4 linked regions of the Solanum lycopersicum genome follow. The protein of the gene in region 3 interacts with the protein of the main gene of each other region in a pairwise test. Links are inferred from orthologs where the notes say so. Each region holds a gene or a part of one and is shown on either strand. Other genes may lie near its edges.

What was found.
Region 1: the proteins of protein BREVIS RADIX (region 3) and eukaryotic translation initiation factor NCBP interact in binary tests that used the Arabidopsis thaliana proteins (3 or more experiments, as listed by UniProt). The link is inferred for Solanum lycopersicum from reciprocal best matches to the Arabidopsis thaliana genes BRX and NCBP.
Region 2: the proteins of protein BREVIS RADIX (region 3) and protein PHYTOCHROME KINASE SUBSTRATE 4 interact in binary tests that used the Arabidopsis thaliana proteins (3 or more experiments, as listed by UniProt). The link is inferred for Solanum lycopersicum from reciprocal best matches to the Arabidopsis thaliana genes BRX and PKS4.
Region 4: the proteins of protein BREVIS RADIX (region 3) and FCS-Like Zinc finger 10-like interact in binary tests that used the Arabidopsis thaliana proteins (3 or more experiments, as listed by UniProt). The link is inferred for Solanum lycopersicum from reciprocal best matches to the Arabidopsis thaliana genes BRX and AT5G11460.

Annotation. Positions count from the first base shown.
Region 1 is NC_090809.1:61,036,813-61,042,268, reverse strand, and holds the start of eukaryotic translation initiation factor NCBP, read left to right. Parts: upstream 1-2,038; 5' UTR 2,039-2,754; coding exon 2,755-2,895; intron 2,896-4,118; coding exon 4,119-4,214; intron 4,215-4,295; coding exon 4,296-4,400; intron 4,401-4,516; coding exon 4,517-4,594; intron 4,595-5,456. Other genes in the region: uncharacterized protein, read right to left, coding at 543-923, 1,085-1,303. UniProt on the Arabidopsis thaliana protein: Recognizes and binds the 7-methylguanosine-containing mRNA cap during an early step in the initiation of protein synthesis and facilitates ribosome binding by inducing the unwinding of the mRNAs secondary structures.
Region 2 is NC_090809.1:61,591,708-61,596,530, forward strand, and holds protein PHYTOCHROME KINASE SUBSTRATE 4, read left to right. Parts: upstream 1-1,786; 5' UTR 1,787-1,941; coding exon 1,942-3,423; 3' UTR 3,424-3,705; downstream 3,706-4,823. UniProt on the Arabidopsis thaliana protein: Modulates phytochrome-mediated control of hypocotyl growth orientation. Involved in PHYA and PHYB signaling. Acts as an inhibitor of asymmetric growth. Not involved in the control of leaf flattening.
Region 3 is NC_090807.1:62,145,517-62,148,994, reverse strand, and holds part of protein BREVIS RADIX, read left to right. Parts: intron 1-133; 5' UTR 134-169; coding exon 170-286; intron 287-2,428; coding exon 2,429-2,814; intron 2,815-3,426; coding exon 3,427-3,478. UniProt on the Arabidopsis thaliana protein: Acts as a regulator of cell proliferation and elongation in the root and shoot. Regulates roots architecture and primary root protophloem differentiation.
Region 4 is NC_090807.1:58,437,399-58,442,655, reverse strand, and holds FCS-Like Zinc finger 10-like, read left to right. Parts: upstream 1-1,839; 5' UTR 1,840-2,058; intron 2,059-2,613; 5' UTR 2,614-2,650; coding exon 2,651-3,720; intron 3,721-3,802; coding exon 3,803-3,953; 3' UTR 3,954-4,409; downstream 4,410-5,257. UniProt on the Arabidopsis thaliana protein: May act as an adapter to facilitate the interaction of SnRK1 complex with effector proteins, conferring tissue- and stimulus-type specific differences in the SnRK1 regulation pathway.

The DNA.
Region 1 (5,456 bases), on a different chromosome or scaffold from region 3:
AGGGGGACGGGGAAAGATACATGCCAAAAATCTTCACCCCCTCTTTCTAAACGGGGTACCTGAGTCACCTCATCGTCTCATTTCCTCTTTGCTCATTTTTGTTAGGCCGAAGTGTTTGCCTTTTCAGGCTTTGCTAACTTATAGCATAACAAAAAGAAGGTAAACGAAGCATATCGCAGAAAGATTTTAACTCTGAGAAGTCCCCTCAGGTTCAAGAAAAATACACTTTTCCCCTCCCCTGATCACTTTATGCACAAGTGGAGTCAGAGAACGGTAGGATGTACACAGACCTTATCCTACTTCTGTGAGGTAGAAAGACATTACAAGTGGAGCTGGGAACGGTGGGATGTACACAGACCTTACCCTACTTCTGTGAGGTAGAAAGACTGTTTCTGATAGGAGTCTTGGGAACGGTAGGATGTACACAGACTAAACTATACATTTGTGAGGTAGAAAGACTGTTTCTAACAGACTCTCGGCTCGATAAAACAATTATGGAAACATAACTTGCAAGAATAACATGACAACATAACTACACAAACCTTGTCATCAGAAAATTGGAATTTAAGCTTCTGATTCTGCTTATGCTGTTTCTGTTTTTGATGATTTCCAATAAAGATACAAATCGTAACAGCAGCAGCTGCAACCCCAAATGAACAAATTGCACCAATTCCAGTCAATCTCCAGTTCCACAGATTAACTCCACCATTATTTTTCTCTTCATTACTATCCCTTTTCTTGATCAAACTCTCATTTTCAACTTCCAAGACTTCAGCTTTAACCTCAAAGGGGAAACTCATTGAATCAATTTGAGACACAGTACTAGTCTTGTTACTAAACTTGGGTGAATCCAACTTCATGTTTTCAAATTCACTTTCCTTCATTTTCTTGAAGAAAACTTGAGACTTTTTATCCTCCTCATCCTGTTGAGATACAATACAATTTAAACTTTCGGATGAGACGATCGCACTATTTAACTCATGAAAGATGACTTACAATGAAAATATAACCATCTTTAAGCTTTTAGATGAGACGATCGCGATCTAAAGTTTGAAACTTTTATATTAGGTGGTAACATGTTTACCTCAAGTGGAACCTTGGTGATAACTTCTTTAATGACTTCTTCATCTTCTTGGGGCTTTTGTATACTTGGTTCTTGTTGAATTAGTAATGGAATTACTACTTGATTTGGCACTTTTTTGGAACTAGAAGTATACTCCATAGACAAAAATTTGTCTCTATCATCATGGAGTACTTCAAGAAGTCCATTATCAGAAAGAAGTTCCCATTCTTGAAGATCCATTTTTTTTTTCTCAATGAATGAAAGCAGGGGAGTTAAAGAGTAGTAGAGGTTAAATAGTTTGAAATTTAGAGGAGTCCTAATTCCTTTTTACCACTCTAGACGTGTACATCTCGACTAATTCCATGGTTATTTATGTTAGAGGGGTTAGAGTTTTGAGAATGGACCAGTGGTCTCTCTTACGTGAACTTGAGCATATTCTATATCATGAGCTAAATTCTGGGGTTGAGTTAGATTCACATGTCATATTTTATAAATTACCAGCTAATTTTTTCCATTAAAATATCGATAAATATGTAAAATTCACCTAATATTTTTATTTCTACTGAAATTTAAACATGAAATCTCATAACTTTCAATTACTTAATTAACCACTAAAACATGAGATCTCATTATTGTCAATCACTTCATCGGCTACGGAGTTTTGATTGTTTTGGGAATTGAAAAGTCAAAAAGAGTGGCTTTGATGGTAATTAATGTGGGATTTTTATTGAATGAAGGCACTCAATATGAAAAATGTCTTCTTGCACCTTGGAGAGTGAATATTTGAAACTTCTTGTTTGGTTATGATGGCGATATAGTAGATAGGTGGAAGCTTATCACTATGTGAAAAATATCAGCCCTACATATGAGGAGGCTAATCTAAACTTTGATATTTATCTCAATTATTAATTGGATTAGTACATAGTCATTTTCATTAGTTCAATATTTAGTTAGGATAAAACTGAAATATAATTTGCATCACTTTATATATATATATATATATATATATATATATATATATATATATATATATATATATATATATATTTATACACTTTGATTTGAAATTCGAATTATTTCTGTGTTAATTTTCAATTATTTCATTAATAGCTGGTTGAGCTATACTCTTGGATGCAACTTTAGATCAAACTCTCTCAACTTCCATGTATTCAAATGTTCAATCAGAATAAACTATAATGTAAATATCTATATAAAATTTATTGACAAATTTAAAAAACTTAAAATATATTTATCTCATTAATTAAATTTTTTTTACGATCACACAACAATGACTATTATGTATGGAATTGGACCATTTAGTTGAATAGTAGAAAACAAAATTCAAAATATAATAAAGCAAAAGATTTAAGTAATGTGTACTTATATTCTAACAACTTTTATTATTATAAAATCGAAGTTATTTATATAGCAGAAAATCTTTTTTTTTAATCGATTTAAATCAGATAAAAGTTATTTATAATTATTTTTAAGTAAATGGGTTGGATTTTCAACAATTTAATTCAGTACCGGGTTGACCCGATTGTTGAAATGGGTCTGGAATAACCCGATTCGTTTGTAGAAGAAGGGGAGCCGCAGTCATATACAATCCCTCTTCGTTTTCATTCTGGAAAAATCCTCTTCTCGAAAAAAATCAGATACAAGAGTTGTCGCCTGAGATTCGCCGGAACTAAATGGAAGTGACATCGGAGAAGAAAGAATTGGATAACAAGAACACGAACAGCACTCAATCCCTAATTATCGATCCCTCAATAGCCGCCGAGGATCGTGAACGCATCGCTGTTGACCTAAAAGCCGGCTTGCATCCTCTCAAGGTTTCATTTTTGTTTTATTTTTCGACTATTTCAGCAAACTTTATTTTATTTTTAGGTTCATCAAGTTCAAACCTAGGTTGTTTGATGCGATTTGCAGCTATTTTGTTATATTTAGTTTTTAGGCTTGGTGGAGTTCAAATTTTTATGCTTTCTACTCATACTTGTTGTTTGTTTGGGGTTTTTATGCAATTTGTGACTATTTCTAGAAAAATGTTTACTATTTTATTTTGCACAATTTATAGGTTAGTTCAAATTTGTATGCTTTTGTTCATAATCATTCCTCTGTTAGGCTGTTGATGCAAGGGAGCTGAATATGTGACTGCTTTATTGAAAGTTCTACTTTTTATTGAACAAATATTATTAAGTTGGTATATTAGTGGAATAGTTGTGGTGTACATAAGTTGGCTCGGACACCATTGTCATGAAAAATATAGTTTGCTTAAGCTACGGAGTAATAAACTGGTTGTAGGACCTCACATTCAGGCAAAAACATCAATTTATCCAGAGACTTGTTTTGAACTAAATACATAACATTGAAACTACTATTAAAGCACTTCCTACTAGAGAAAGGAAATACAACATGTGGACAAATAAGTATGATCTTAGGTGATAAAGATTGGACATAGTGCTTCTGAGAGAATTCTGCATCAAGATCTTACCTTTATACATAATATACTCCAGAAATTTGGGAAATACAGTAGATTCAGGAATTGAAACTAGGCTCATGAGTATGAAGTGACAAATTTTGAGCATCATATTTCCCATACTAGTGATGCTTACTTCCTGAAAGCCCATTGTAGAGTCTCATGATCTTGTAGGATCCTGTATTTAATATGCTTGCATTTCTTCTCTGTTTTACTAGTAGCTACTATTTTTTAACAATCAATACCATATTGGTGGTCAAATGTGTGGCGTGCATGCAATTATCTGCATTTCTTCTTTGGAGATGGCCAAAACAAACATGCTCACTGTGCCAGTCAGGCCAGGAGGATTGTAGAATTGAAGATATATCTAGGAGCATGTGCATATGATGACTACCATATGCTTGTAGCATATTACCATGCTATGTTTTCCCACTATTCATAAAAAAAAATATATGGTAGGGACACAACTTCGTATTTCTATAAGCACAGTATTCCAACCATGTTTACTTTCCATCTTTTGCTTTCTTTTTCGTTTGAGTTGTGCTTCTGGTATTCACTTAGCTTCATTGTCATGATCAGAACAAGTTTGTTTTCTGGTACACTCGCCGGACACCTGGGGTTCGAACACAAACATCATACGAGGACAATATAAAGAAAATTGTTGATTTTAGTACTGTAAGTCAATTTGTTTCTGGTCTTTTGGCTTTATGTGAATTTAACTGCCTCTTTAATCCCTTATGTGTTCTCCATCCATAGGTTGAAGGGTTTTGGGTTTGCTACTGCCACTTGGCTCGCCCATCAGCATTGCCCAGCCCAACTGATTTGCATCTTTTCAGAGAGGGTATTCGTCCTTTATGGGAGGTTAGTTTTGGTGCTCATCCTAACTATTTCTTTTCTGCGTCTTCAATTTTGTTGAAGTCCTTAACTATGTATACCTCTTACCTGAGTTAATTTCTTGATTATATTTGTCTGTGAAGGATGCTGCTAATTGCCATGGTGGGAAGTGGATAATTCGTTTTAAAAAGGCTGTCTCAGGACGTTTTTGGGAGGACCTGGTAAGCCAGCTGCCCTGCGATTTTTGTTTTCTGTCAACTTAACTGGACTTTTTTGGCTAATAAACATTAAGTGCAGAAATAAATTTTTAAGTCAATCTATAGTAGCCACGACAAAATTTAGATTTTGACAATATAAAGCACGAATATCCAAACAGAGGAAATTTCTAACTCCATTTTATGCAAGGGCTGAGATGCCCCTTAGCAAACAATCTCACATAGGTTTCCATAGGTAAGCAGTAGAAGCTGACAAAAGAGGACAGTCTAGTGAAATGGATTCTCTATCTCCAACCATGATGGGGACCTCATCAAGGGGGGAGTTGGAAAAGATGCTGCTTATCAAGTGGGGACTATGTGGGGTTTAAGGAGCAGGGTCTACCACTTAAATGAAAAGAGAAGAAGAAGAAAAGAAAGGGCACTAGAAGCTGAAGTGATTTCTGTGACCAGACTTTTACATCAGTATCCTGTAATCTGTTCTCCTAAAGGATGTGTTGTTACATTGATGTTCTCCTCATTTTTGTCAGTAGCTGAATTTTTCATGCTGCCTTAGATTCCCAATATCTAACCAAAAAGTTGAGTCTGTTTGAAGTATTCTCATCTTGGAGTACATGCATTTGCTTATTGTGAATTTACTCAAATAGATGTTTAGGTAGGATTGATGTTATTGTTTCCACATATATCATGGTCAAAAGATAATTAATCTATCAACTCCTCAATCGTACATCAGTTGGGGTCCGCATTAATTTGGTTTGGTTAGTTTCTCTAGACTAGTTAAGCATTAATTTCGTGAACTCGTATCAAATGATTTGTCAGGCTACCCTCATTAGTCATGATAATGTTTGTTTACCAAGCTTTGCCAGTGGGA
Region 2 (4,823 bases), on a different chromosome or scaffold from region 3:
TTCTTGAACTGAGATGGTTTGAATTTGATCTCTTTATGAATATTTCATGAATTTGTGGAATATGCAAATGTCTCGAATATAATACACTTTATTTAGATATAAAATTAGGGTTTAGAATTAGAGTAGTCTCTAAAAATCTAACATGAATCAAATACTTCATGTAGAGTCTCAACTAAAATTGAATATGTCTTGCAGACTCGCTACAACTTTTTAATGTCCGCATAATCTTTTTAAAAGTTTGAACCAGAAGCGTTTATTAGGAACACTTTATCATGTTATTCAGGTGTGATCAATTAGATCATGTTATTGTTCGAGTGTTTAAATAAAATTTACTTATTTAAGGTAATGATGAAGTCAACTTTTCAGTTAGAGAATTCAAAATATTTTTTTTGTTTTCGACCTCGTGTCAGTCCGGATGTCGAGCGAATTGATCCTTAAATTACAAGTGCATTGTATATAGTACTACATCTATTTACACAATTTAACGTGACATAATACATAAATAGACATCTTAACTCTATTTTAACGTAAAATAAATACCCTAATTTTAAGGATGCACATTTGAACAATTCAACTCACTTTATGTGTCAGTTGAACATTCAAACTTATAACAAAAATTATGTTCATCTAGACACCACTAAATTTGTATATCATCTCAACATCAAGTGTTAACGAGACACGATTAAAACAAGTTAACTGTCTAAATATATATATTCAAAGATAACATGCTCAATACCCATTAATGTCAAATTAAGATGTCTATTTATATATATTACATCATTTTAATTTTAATCTTAATTAAATGTACAACTACCAGTGGGCAATGCATGTCAATAAAGGTCCTCTTCAAAATTATTGCTACATCTCATCAATATTTTTCAGGTCTATATCAACAGGACCAAATTTCCACTAAATAATTCTCTGTGTAATAATAAGTGACAATAAATAATATAATTCCATTATCCAACCACTGTTGTTGGCTAAATTAATATGAACATGGGACTTGAAATTGATATCTACCATTAGTTTACATGGACAATAGATTAAACATTTTTACCAAATTTTTAAAACATATAAACTAATTCTTATTTTTCAAAAGAAGTGTTTTAAATTTTTTTACGCTTGTAAGTAAACTATGACTTATAAAATATGTTTTTCTTTTCTTATTTAAATAAAGTCATTTTATTTAATCGATCAAACATAAAAATATTGTTAACCAATCATAAAAAATATTACTGATATAACTTGAAAAAGAGTTGGTAGATTGTACAATCACTACTATAATTTTCTCATAGTTTTTCATCATTCTCTATTTCCAATCATTGGAACCTCAAAACTGAAAATAAAAAATAAAACTTATATATATATATATATATAAAAGGAAGGTTCCTTTATTATTATTATTTTGATTTTCCATTTGATGTTTCGATGCTCGATATTAAAATTAGAGCTTGATTAAATTTAAATTTCTGTCGAAAATTTTTACATTAAGAAGTATTTTCTCTATTTTAAAAAGAATAATCTGATTTGGTTTAACACGAAATTTAAGAAAATAAAGAAGATTTTTAATCTTGTGATACTAAACTAAAGTTAACGTGAAATGTACAAAACTACCCTTTAATCTTGTGATCTTAAACATGCCACATGTAAAAAAAAAAATTTGAATCAGATACAATGCTTCCTAACAAAGACGATTTTGTTTTCAGAAAGACTTAAATCCAAATCTTTTGATTAAGAATAAAAGAGTACGTATTAATAATCAAATCACTCCAACACGACCATTGTCTACACGTTCTTTTATTATAACTCCAAAAAAACTGACAGATAGTCAAGAAAATTATCAGAAACAATATTCTCTCAAAAATTGTTATAAATAATAGTACTATCTATAGTTTAGTTGTACAACCAAAAAAAAAATAATCACAAAAAGGAGAAAAAGATATGGATTCCCAAACAACAGTTAAAACTTTAACAGAACATCCTCTTCAATACAGAGCTTTTGTACAAAATCATGTACTAAAAGATGCATCATTCTCTTCATATCTCAAACCAGAAGATCATAGTCCTGATGATTCCGAAATCAACGTGTTCGATGCGAAAAAATACTTCAGTGAAGGCAATGAATCATCTCCTGTTGCTCAAAAAAATGTAAATGATCAATGTGAATTACCATCAGGTCATCGACATTCGTCAGTTTCTTCCGTAGACAATGCCTACGGAAGAAACTTCCGTGCTAATTCCTTTCGTGCTACTCCAACTGCTTCGTCAGAAGCGAGTTGGAATAGCCAGACAGGATTATTAGCAAATCCTCCAGGTGCAGTATCAGTTTCATTGAAGAGTATTAATACGAATGACAAAAGAAGTGGTTCGTTTAATACTCGTAAATGGTTTTTCTGTCGAAAATGCCCTTGTTCTGGGAAGAAATCTGTGCAGGTTGAGGAAGCTAGCTCGGAGCCAAGAACAGAAACTGGCTCCGAGCAGCATTTCCCCGTCAAACACAGTAGTAAAGTTGTAGTTGAGAAATCAACTAACCTATCTCAGAAAAGTTCAATTGAAATTCAACACAGAGGAGTGGTGGTCAGGTCAGAGACTAATAAAATTGGAGCGATTCAGAGAAGATCATCAGAATCAGAGAGTGGTACAGCTGGTACAATCAGCTGTCAACAACGTGTACTGGCACCGGTTAGACCGTTTACCGAGGTGCCAGGTGGAGGATTTTCATTCCCAATTCTGAACCATTCAGGTCAATCCAAATTAGGAATCAAACCTCCATCAACAAGATCATCGATTTCCCCAATTTTAGAAGATCCGCCTCGAGATTCACTCGAGGTATTTCAACCATCTACTCGAAAATCAATCGAAACAGATCACCATCGATGCAATAATTTCCCCTTCCCAGGTAGTCCAATGTCTCGAATAACAGCTACAGATGACGATGTAGCAAGCGATGCAAGCTCCGATCTATTCGAAATCGAGAGCTTTTCGACTTCAATGGCGAATTCATCCTGTCCGTTATATCGTCAACGAAATTCACTCGAAGAGCCTGGTACACCTAGTGTTGCAGCTACAGAGTGTTATGCACCAAGTGAAGTGAGTATTGACTGGAGTGTTACAACAGCTGAAGGTTTCGATCGAACTAGTGTAACTAATTATTCAACTATTTCAGAAATCGAGACGAATACTCAATTTTTTGGTGGCGGTGGTGGTGGTGATGGAGGGAAGTGGAAAGGGGGTGGGTTGTTGAGTTGTCGGCATGAAAAAGCGGTAAATGTGGGACCGCAGCCAGTTAAATATGGGTCGCCCGATGGGCCACCGTCGCAACTGCCGTTGAAATCAACGGCAGGACATGTGGGAAGTAGAGCTAATAAGCCACCTCTCGCAAGCTCTCATTCAGCTCGCTTGTCTCTTGCATTTGCAGCATGACAAATAACTTCCTTCGTACTCATGTTTGGTGTTTATATGTTTTTTTCTCTTTCTCGTTTTATTTTACGTGACGCTACTGTTATTCGAAGCGTGATTTTATTGTTATTTAGGGAATTATGAAAAAAAAATCTTTTGATTTTAGTTTTTTAAATTATTTATTATTGTAATTTATAGTAATATTTCTTTTTATGTATTTTTTAGTACTCTTTATTGGAGTTTATGTAGCAATATTTTTTTTCCTTTTTAGTTTAATTCAGAAAGAATGATATTTTTTTATTTTAATTTTTTAGTGATTTGTTTTAAACAATGTCTTTTTTTTCTTTGAAAACTTGTAATTTGAACATTTCATGTAATATGTCCTAGCATTACAAGATTAAATGATTTTTTTTGTACATTGGGTATATATCATTGATTAAAAAGTTTTCTTTAATTATAAACTAGGAACTAGATTAAAATAAGATAAATAAATTGAAACAAAAGATATATTTTAAAATTTTAACTTCAACTTGTCACTTTTTTTTGGGTTCCAAACAGTTGATTTTTGTATTAAGACTTTGACTGATCTGAGTTATTGCAACATAAGACCCGTTAAAAAGTGAAATGCTCCTTGTATTCAAGTATGGAATTTAAGGTCTTTATTAAGAGAGAATAAATACCATATATTTACATGTACATGTATTTTTACTTATTAAAATTTTATTTCTACGTTTAGTGACAAGCTTTTACAGGAATATACTCAAATATTATGAAATACTTAAAGAGTTAAGATCATAGTTTCAAAGTTTATAATGGTACGAACATTATCATATATTTAAAATCAAATATTTTAATTTTATTATAACCATACAAATCTTATAACATGTTTAACGACAAAAAAACTTTAATTTTACCAAGCAAAATATAGTAAATGCATGAAGAGGGTCTAGTTGGGGTCATCTGAATTATAGGTAGGCCAAAATGTATGACATTTTTTGTTGTTGTTCATGCACCTAACTAGAGGCTCTCTTGTTCAAACGAGGGTAGATCACGTGAATAAAATAATATTTTTATTTAAATAATATATATAAAAATTATCAATCTATTGCTTAATTATAGATTTTGAAAAATTATCTATAAATATTTGTTTGATCCTGAAATTTGAATATATTTAAAAATTTAGTTTCAAAATATTCCAACTTCCCGTTTTGGCTTGGATAATTATTTTTTTGTGAAATTTTGCTCACTCACCCAATTTTAAAGTTTTTCAAAGTAAATTACGTATTCAGACACAATATTAAAATTTTAAAAATTCAAAATTTCATGTTTCAAATTCAAATCTATCCAAATGGAAGCTAAATAACTACTATAAATATTTGAGAATAAACTCTATTATTATTATTATTATTATTATTATTATTATT
Region 3 (3,478 bases):
CATGTGTGTATTTGTTCAACTTTATACATGTTTAAGTGTCTATTTGTGTACGCCCAAAGTTAAAAAAGACATAAATTTAAATGTATTATATCTTTTTTTTTTACTCTTAACTCATTTTAATTATTTTTTGTAGGAGAAAAGATATAGTAAGGGAGAGTGTAGGAGAAGGATGTTGACATGTATAACGTGTAAGCAAAAGATAGAAGATGATGGAGGTGAAGAAGGACCTCGTGGCCGTGCTCCTACTCCCCATACTAAAGATTCCATCAAAAGCCTCACAGCACAGGTACTATTTTTCTACTTTTGAAATTTCATTATAATAATCTATTTCGAATATCATATTTCATTATTATTATTAAGACGTTTGTAGTTTGAAGACGTGATTTCCAGCTCCGCGAGATAGTGATACAATTGGTATAAATTTTCCCTCTCTCAGATCCTACTTAGTGAGATTTTACTGAATATATTCCCGTTACTGATAGTAGTGAAGGCACGAGTGAGACTCTTCACTATTCAATCAAACCCTTCATTCGAGTTTTGACCCTCATTTGTATGGTTTAGAGAGGCTTATTTATCTTATAATTTCAGATGTTATTTCGATTTAATAATACCGTTTATTATATTGAATTTCATTGTAGTTAAATTTAAATATTTTTTTGTCAAAAATGTTTATAAACTTTTTTTTTTTCCTTCTTTGTTCAAAGCAAAGCTAACTCTTAGTACGAGACCTGTCGCTTTAGCCCCTATATCTTTAATAGGGCCCCACATTTCATCCTTTTGGGCCCACATTTCCTAACTGGATTTTGGGCTATATTTGGACATTAGGTTAACAAGAGTAACATGAAATAAACAATTTTGTTGGTCACGCGGGGGTGGAGTGAGGACCATAGAATGTTACTTTTATTTTCTTAATTATCATCTTGGTGTTCAGACTTAGCTTTCGCGCATCTCAATTAATTCCTCGAGATACTTGCTACTATCCACCGACGACATGTAATTAGGTAAAATTAGAGTGTTTTTTTATCTCCGATGAGTTTTGAATGTGAGATTATCAAAACGTGTATATGTAAAACTAGATCACGATTTGTGGTTATCCCATATGAAAATCCATTGAGTCCATTTGTATTTGTGGGCACTATGGTTACTTATAATATGACTTTTAAATTATTTGACCCCACTCTTTTTTGTTTAGCATGTAGATTGGGTCATGTTCACGTTATTTCTTGGATCATGTGTCTAAGTTCTTTGGTCCCATAATGTTTTTCTTTACTTTAGTTTGCTTTCATCTAGTGGTCCTTATTTTAGATCATCTTGCAATTATGATTTTAATACTTTCCTATCTTACTTCTTCATTTCCATCCCAAAGTTGTTGAAACTAACAATATTTTGAAGTTTGTAAGGCTGACCAATTGGACCACTAAGAAAGCTTAGAACAATAATAATAATAAAGTATAATGTATAGGAAGGCCTATAATGATAAGCTATGTTGTTTGGACGCGTCAAAAGTGTTGTTGCACTAGTCAGATCTTTAAGAAATGTGCAACTTTTGGAGGATTCGACAGACACCTTGAACGATGGATAAGCAAAGACAAATTTCATGACGGGTTATGTGAGTTCAACTGAAGTGATCTTTGTGATTATGTTTTGGTCAAGTCTACTTAGAAGTTGCAAAACCAATAAAAAGAAGATCTAAAATGTAGACTAGTCTGGGCAAAGACTTGTCTGAATTATCTTTGACATGACCAGCCATTGATATATCTGTTCATTCACTGTAGTCCAGCCTCCAATTTACTCAATCCTTCACAAATTCAACTGTTGAATTCATCACTATCCCCAGAAAGTTAACTTCTGAAATTAAGTGACTTTCAAACAGTAAGTTTTGCTTTTGGACCTATAAAGAGATCTTCTGCTTTGATGTTCTTTGTTTGATAGTACAAGAAAGATACCATTTCTAGCAGCAGTAATAGGTGGAATCACTTCCTACTGTCTGAAATAGGCAGAACAGTCATTAATTTGTTAAACTAGTATTGACTTATCGTTAAAGCGCGCTTAAGCCTTGAAGATAGGGGTAAAACATGTTGAGCATTTCACTTCATGAAACATACTTTTCCTTGCCAATGAGAGTAACATTTAATCTGTTAAACTAATATTGTCAAACTCACGCTTAAGCCCCGAAGCTAGAGGCAAAAACATGTTGAGCATTTCGCTTCATAATCCTAAAGAGTGGATCCTAAACAATTTACTCTTCATTCTATTGTAATTTCTTTGTTCATATATTTGCCATTTATGCATATATTTATTAGTATTGAACTTTACATATTAACTGTTTTAACTTATGCTAATACTGTAGCTAATCTTATAATCAACAATCCATCTTCTTGATGTTGTACTAAGTTGCTATGAACTAATAATTTTTTAACATTTGCAGATCAAGGATATTGCTTTAAAGGTCTCTGGTGCATATAAATGCAAGTCATCAACACCAACTGGTACTTACAGGAAAGGTCATAGACCTTATCCTGATTTTGATACAATATCAGAGGGAGTTCCATATCCTTTTCAACCAGCAAGTTCAAGCTCTACTCCAGCTTGGGATTTTACTAGTGCTGGTAATCTAAGGACTCCGCGGCCTGATTCAAGATTTGCTAGAGGATTTAGTGGTGGTGGTGGTGTAGAATCTATTTCTCAGTCTGGTGAGGTAGTGGCGGAAGATGATGGACAAAAAGAGTGGACTGCACATGTTGAACCTGGTGTACAGATCACTTTTGTTTCTCTCCCTAATGGTGGAAATGATCTTAAACGAATCCGATTTAGGTATCTATCAAAAGTCTCTCTTCATTTCTACCACAAAACTTTATCATAGTATATAATATTGGACTAAGATGAGCTTAAATGGAGTGACATAGACAATAAGGATTCATGTAACTGATCCTAACTTCGGATAGAGTCGTCGTCTAGAATGAAATTATGGGAATTATGATTATGATAACTTCTTGCCTATGAATACTATAAGAAACAGTCTCTTTTGTACTGAAAGCTTCTTTGCCTAATCTTATCCTAGGCCAATGTTTAGTCCCTTTCATTCATTCATGAATTCTTATTGAGTTTCCCCTTTCTTTATTCCCTCAAGAGTCATGTCTACTAAAATATTTCACTTGTTTAGTACTGAGCCTTCAATTATCTTACTTACTACATGTGCCATTCTTATTACTTAGTTGATGTGTTTTGAATGCCATCTGAAATGATGACCTATTTTATTGAAAGTATCCGTGTTATGTAGCTTTCTAGGTGGCCCGATAAGCTGTCAAATTGTCCACTTGCTATCTGTATTATTCCTATCCTTATTGAAAATATCAGTGTTATGTGTATCTTATTGAAACACCCTTTGATGGTCCTGACAATAAATATCCCTGGGTTCTTTTGAAGTCGGGATATGTTCAACAAATGGCAAGCTCAAAGATGGTGGGGTGAGAATTAT
Region 4 (5,257 bases), about 3.7 Mb from region 3:
ACCCCTGCCTTTCACCTTTCAGTTTTTTGACAATATTGACCAAATATAATTATAATTGATGTTTTATTTTTTTTTAATCCTTTTATCCCTCAAAATTATTAAGAATGAATTTGGTGGATATATTGAAAAAACTTGTTGTACATGGAGCTATATTTCTATCAATTTCAAAAATAATATATTTGATGATATAAATATGTTTTACGCTATAAATATAATTTAATATAAACAGTTGCAAATTGATTATCTTTTACGTTACTAATTTACTTTTTTATGAGCAATTATAAATAGTATTAAAATATATTGATTTATAGTCTCAACCCATACATATCCTAGTTAATTATATTATATTATTTTCACTTAATTTATTTTATCATTATTTAATTATAATTGTAATGCAATCAGTATAATATTTAGATAGCTTGTTTTCAAGTTTTATATATATATATATATATTAATTTTGTGTATGATATTAAAATTGAAGTTGATTATTTTTAATTTTTGGTGCATATAGCTTTAATCGAAAGAAAATATTTTTTATTAAAGATTTTTTTTTACTCGTAACTTTAATCAAAAGAAAATATTTCTTACAATTATTTTTTTTACTCGTGACTCAAACTTAAGATCTTCAATTTAAAAAGGAATAGTTATATCCATTGCATCCCATGAATGATTGTTTTTAACTTAACTTATCATTACGAATGTCTTGATATTAATCAAAGACTACAATTAATTTGATATATTTTCTTTTAAAATATTTTTACTATTAAATATTTTGAATAACTTGTTTCTAATCAAATAAATCATTACTGACAACCACAATTAATTTGATTTATTTTTCTAGAATTCTTCAATGTTTTAATATTTGAATAATTTGTTCTAGTCCAATGAATCATATTATTCTAAAAAGTATCAATTATTATAATCATTAAATAATTTATTTTCAATCAAATAAATCATAAGTGTCTTGATATTAATAAAAAAAATATGAGTAATTAATTTAAAATATTTTAAAAATATTCCAATCATAACTATAATCTTCAAATAACTTGTTGTCAACCAAACGAACTATAAATGTCTTGATAAAGCAAAAACTACAATTAATTTGACATTTTTTTTTAAAGATATACAAATAATTATACAAGTTCTTCTAAAATATCTCGATTATCATAAAACGTTCAAATAATTTGTTCAAAACCAAATAAATCATAAATATCTTAAAGTTTATACTATATTTACTGACATATTCTTTTAAAATATTTCGATCATATAAAATTAGAATAATTTGTTCTTAACCAAACAAATCATAAATGTCTTAATATTAATCATAGACTAAGATTAATTTGACATTTTTTTATAAGAAAATATCACGATAATATTAATTTTTGAATAAATTATTTCTAACCAAATAATTTATAAATGTCTAGATATTAATCCAAGACGATAATTAATTTGACAAGCTCTTTTAAAATATCTTTTATCTCCAAAATAAATGAAAAATAAATTTGATCAAGAATTGTTCATTAAACCTTATCAATTGATCATGATTAAATAATATAATTATTTATGATTAAATAATTAGTTTGTTTATATAAAACATTTGATGTATTTATTGCTCTAGTAATAATAATTTAATATAAACACCCATTTTGAAATAATTTCTTACCAATTAATACTTGCTTATCTCTCATGTTACTACTTCTACTTTTTTAATGGACCATCTTAATGGCTTAATTATTATTTTTTTCCAAAAAATAAAAAATTTCAAATAAAAGTCAAACAAAAATTATCTACATCATTTATTATTCATTGTATTTATACATACATGTATTTTGTGTATTTTCTACACAGAGAGAGAAACTGAAAGAGTATTTGAGAAGCTCTCACTATTTACTGATTTTGATGCAAATTGTGAGAGAAAGAGAAAGAAAAAGATGTACTGAAGAAGCCACACACACACACTACTGTGAGAGATAAAAGGGAAAGAGTTTTCCTCTTTGCATTTATACTCTTTTCTCTCATAAACTAAATTCTTTGAAGCTTCTGGAACTAATCTACCAGGTGGTTTTCTCTCTTTGTGAATCCCCTTTTGAAAAAAAATTGAAAATCCATCAAGAAAATGAAACCCCTTCTTTGATTTTTGATTTTTTCATTGATTCTTGTGTGATGTATGACCTAAAGTTGAAATCTTGAAAATGGGGTTTATGTGGGTTTAATCATTTTTCTTGGAGATAGATGTCAATGGTGGTTTTTGTAAAAAAATAAAAAAAAATTCAAACTTTTTGTTCTGGCCCTAACCTACATTGGCAGGTCTTTCTCTTGTTGACTCTTGGTGTTCATTGATTTTGACTAGTTTTTGTTATTTCTAACTATTTATTTTCTTGAGAAAAAGGTTTCTCTTTAACAATCTAGGTATGTTTTATGGATTTTTGAATTGTTTTTTTGTGCCTTTTTTCATCTGCCTTCTCTAATCCCTTTAAAAATGCAAGCTTTGATGTAGTTGTTCTTTAGATGTTTTGATGGATTTCTCATTTGGGGTTTTTCTTTTCTTTTTATAAATTTTACATTCTTGATGATTTATTTTACTAAAGCAGAGAATATTGGATCTTGATGCAGGTGTTGGTGGACTTTTAGGGCTGAGGGTTTAAGGATAATGTTGAAGAAGAGGACCAGATCACACCAGAAAGTTCAAACAATGGGGCATTTGATGTCTGATGGTATCTCAGATTCTTATTTTCAACCTGATGTTTTTGTTAGGAAACATAAAAATAACTCCTTTTTCAATGTTCCTGGTGTGTTTGTTGGGTTTAATCCTAAGGGTTCAGAATCTGACTCAGTGAGAAGTCCTACTTCTCCACTGGATTTTAGGGTCTTTTCAAATTTGGGAAACCCCTTTAGGTCATCAACTAGTGAAGGGGCTGGGGCTAACAAGACATGGGGTTGTACTAAAGTAGGCCTTGGCATTGTAGATTCTCTTGATGATGAAATGAAACATTCGGGGAAAGTTTTTCGATCATCCGATAGTAAAAATATTCTTTTTGGCACACAAATGAGGATCAAAGCACATGATTTTCAGAGCTGTGTTGATGATTCTCTTGAGGAACCTAAGTCACTCCCTAAGAATATCTCGATTTTTCCTCATACTTTGTCCAAAAGCTCCAATCTTCGAAAGGGAAGTTCTGATGTTGTCTTTGGAATTGGAGATGCCCTGTCGGAGCATGAGTACTCGAGAAATTTTCGTTCTTGTTCTCTGGACTCTGGAAGGTCTAGCTCACGGTTCGCAAGCTTGGCGAACCGTACTGTGGCTGTTGGTTCTGAAAATGCAATAAATCCAGTGGTTTCACAAACTAAATGTGTTAGAGGTTGCTCAAAGCTGGGCAACCCTGCAGGTGGTGCGAAATTGAGTCCTATACCAACACCTGTTGGCTCTAACACCAGCTTAGTTGGTTCTATTTCAGCGAGTGACATACAACTTTCTGAGGACTATACCTGTGTGAGAACCCGTGGACCCAATGCCAAAGTAACTCATATCTTTTGTGACTGCATTTTAGAATGTCACAACAATGAGTTGCCCAATTTTTGTAAGAATGCTAATGAGAAAACCGTGCTGCCTGAGGTGACGGACAGCTCAGAGGTCCTCACTTCATTTCCTTCAAGCGATTTTTTGCGCTTCTGTTCCTCTTGCAAGAAGAAGCTGGACGGAAAAGATATTTACATGTACAGGTCTGTTCAATATTCACCGCAATTCTAACAGTTCTAATGACTTGATGAACTTCGTAGTGAAAATTTGTATTGTGTTTTGCAGAGGTGAGAAAGCTTTTTGCAGCTTGGATTGTCGTTCTGAGGCAATTTTAATTGATGAGGAGATGGAGAAAGTCAATAATGATTCTGAAAGCTCTATTAAGCCAAACAGCCGTGATGAAGTTTTTGACACCGGCTTGTTCATTGCTACATAGGATGCCGGAATCGCACTGCTGTAGCTACTAAGCCCATGATTGATGAAACCGCCACCTCACTGGTTAACAACTAGACACCCTGATCATCTGTTTACTAAGAGCTGTTTTTTTGTGCATCTTTGTGCAGCCATGGATGATCAGATCATGTATTGCTGCTACCTGTGTGAACTATCTTTCCTTTCTCATGGTCCTAGTGGTTAATAGTCGCAAACTGCAAATTTTGTTTTATATAGTTCTGAATTTGTTTATGTAATAGTTGAGTATAATCTCCAAAAAAAAAAAAAAGAAGGATAAGAAACTTAACTAGAAGGGTTGTAGCCCATCCTTGTGGCTCCCCAATTTTTGGTTTCTCACCAAGCTAATATTACCTGTTAAAGTTTGACAAAAATACAAATGTTTTATGGCTACATACATTACTTATGTTATGTATGAATAAAAATGTTTTGCAATTGCTCATTCTTGTCTCGTTGTTTACTGTTAATAGGATCTGTTTGTTTTCAGCTTATGTAAGTTTGTTAGTCATAACATGCTTTCTTGATTGTGATTCAGACTTCACCGATGCTAGTTAATGTCGATTTGGTCTTTTAAGTCCGGTGAAGATGGCGTAGCTTCTTGAGTTTTCTGTTTTTGTTGTTCTTGGAAAACCCCTCAACCAGTTGCCTCCATGATCCTAGCTCATTTTTTTGATCCTCAACTTGTCATCTTTTTCTTGGATGTACTTGATAGTTGATAGACATCTAGGGATCTTGTTGTTCTTTTAAAATTTGTATGTCAGTAGAATAACTCTAGTTTGTTTTGTATTTGAGATGGGCTTACACAGAGCAACATTGATAGTGATGATTCATGTAGCGGATCCTAACTTGTTTGGGATTGAGTAGATCCGTTCTATTTCTTCAGATTTGAAATACACCAGCTCTGCTTCTATTTGGGACGTGGTAAACGTTCTATCTGTTATACTAGCAGAGATGTCTTATTCCTTTTACTCTTAAGATTAGCAATACACCAGTTCTGCTTCTGCTTCTGCTGTGTCTCGCATAGCTAACACTACCATTTTGCCCCTGAACTGATGTAACTTGCAAACAACGCTGACACCAAATAGCCATAAAACACTGACACCAAATAGCCGTAAATACACACAAATATTCGACTATTCTAACTACTCGAAATGTCCTGTTCTGAGAGGCCCCTTTGGGTTTCATTTTGTTTCCATGTAAACATTGTTGTGGGAGATTGAGAGAATGTTGGTATCATGTGCTATACTGTACAGTAGTGAAGTCTCTAGCCACTAATGGACTAGTGCAGAA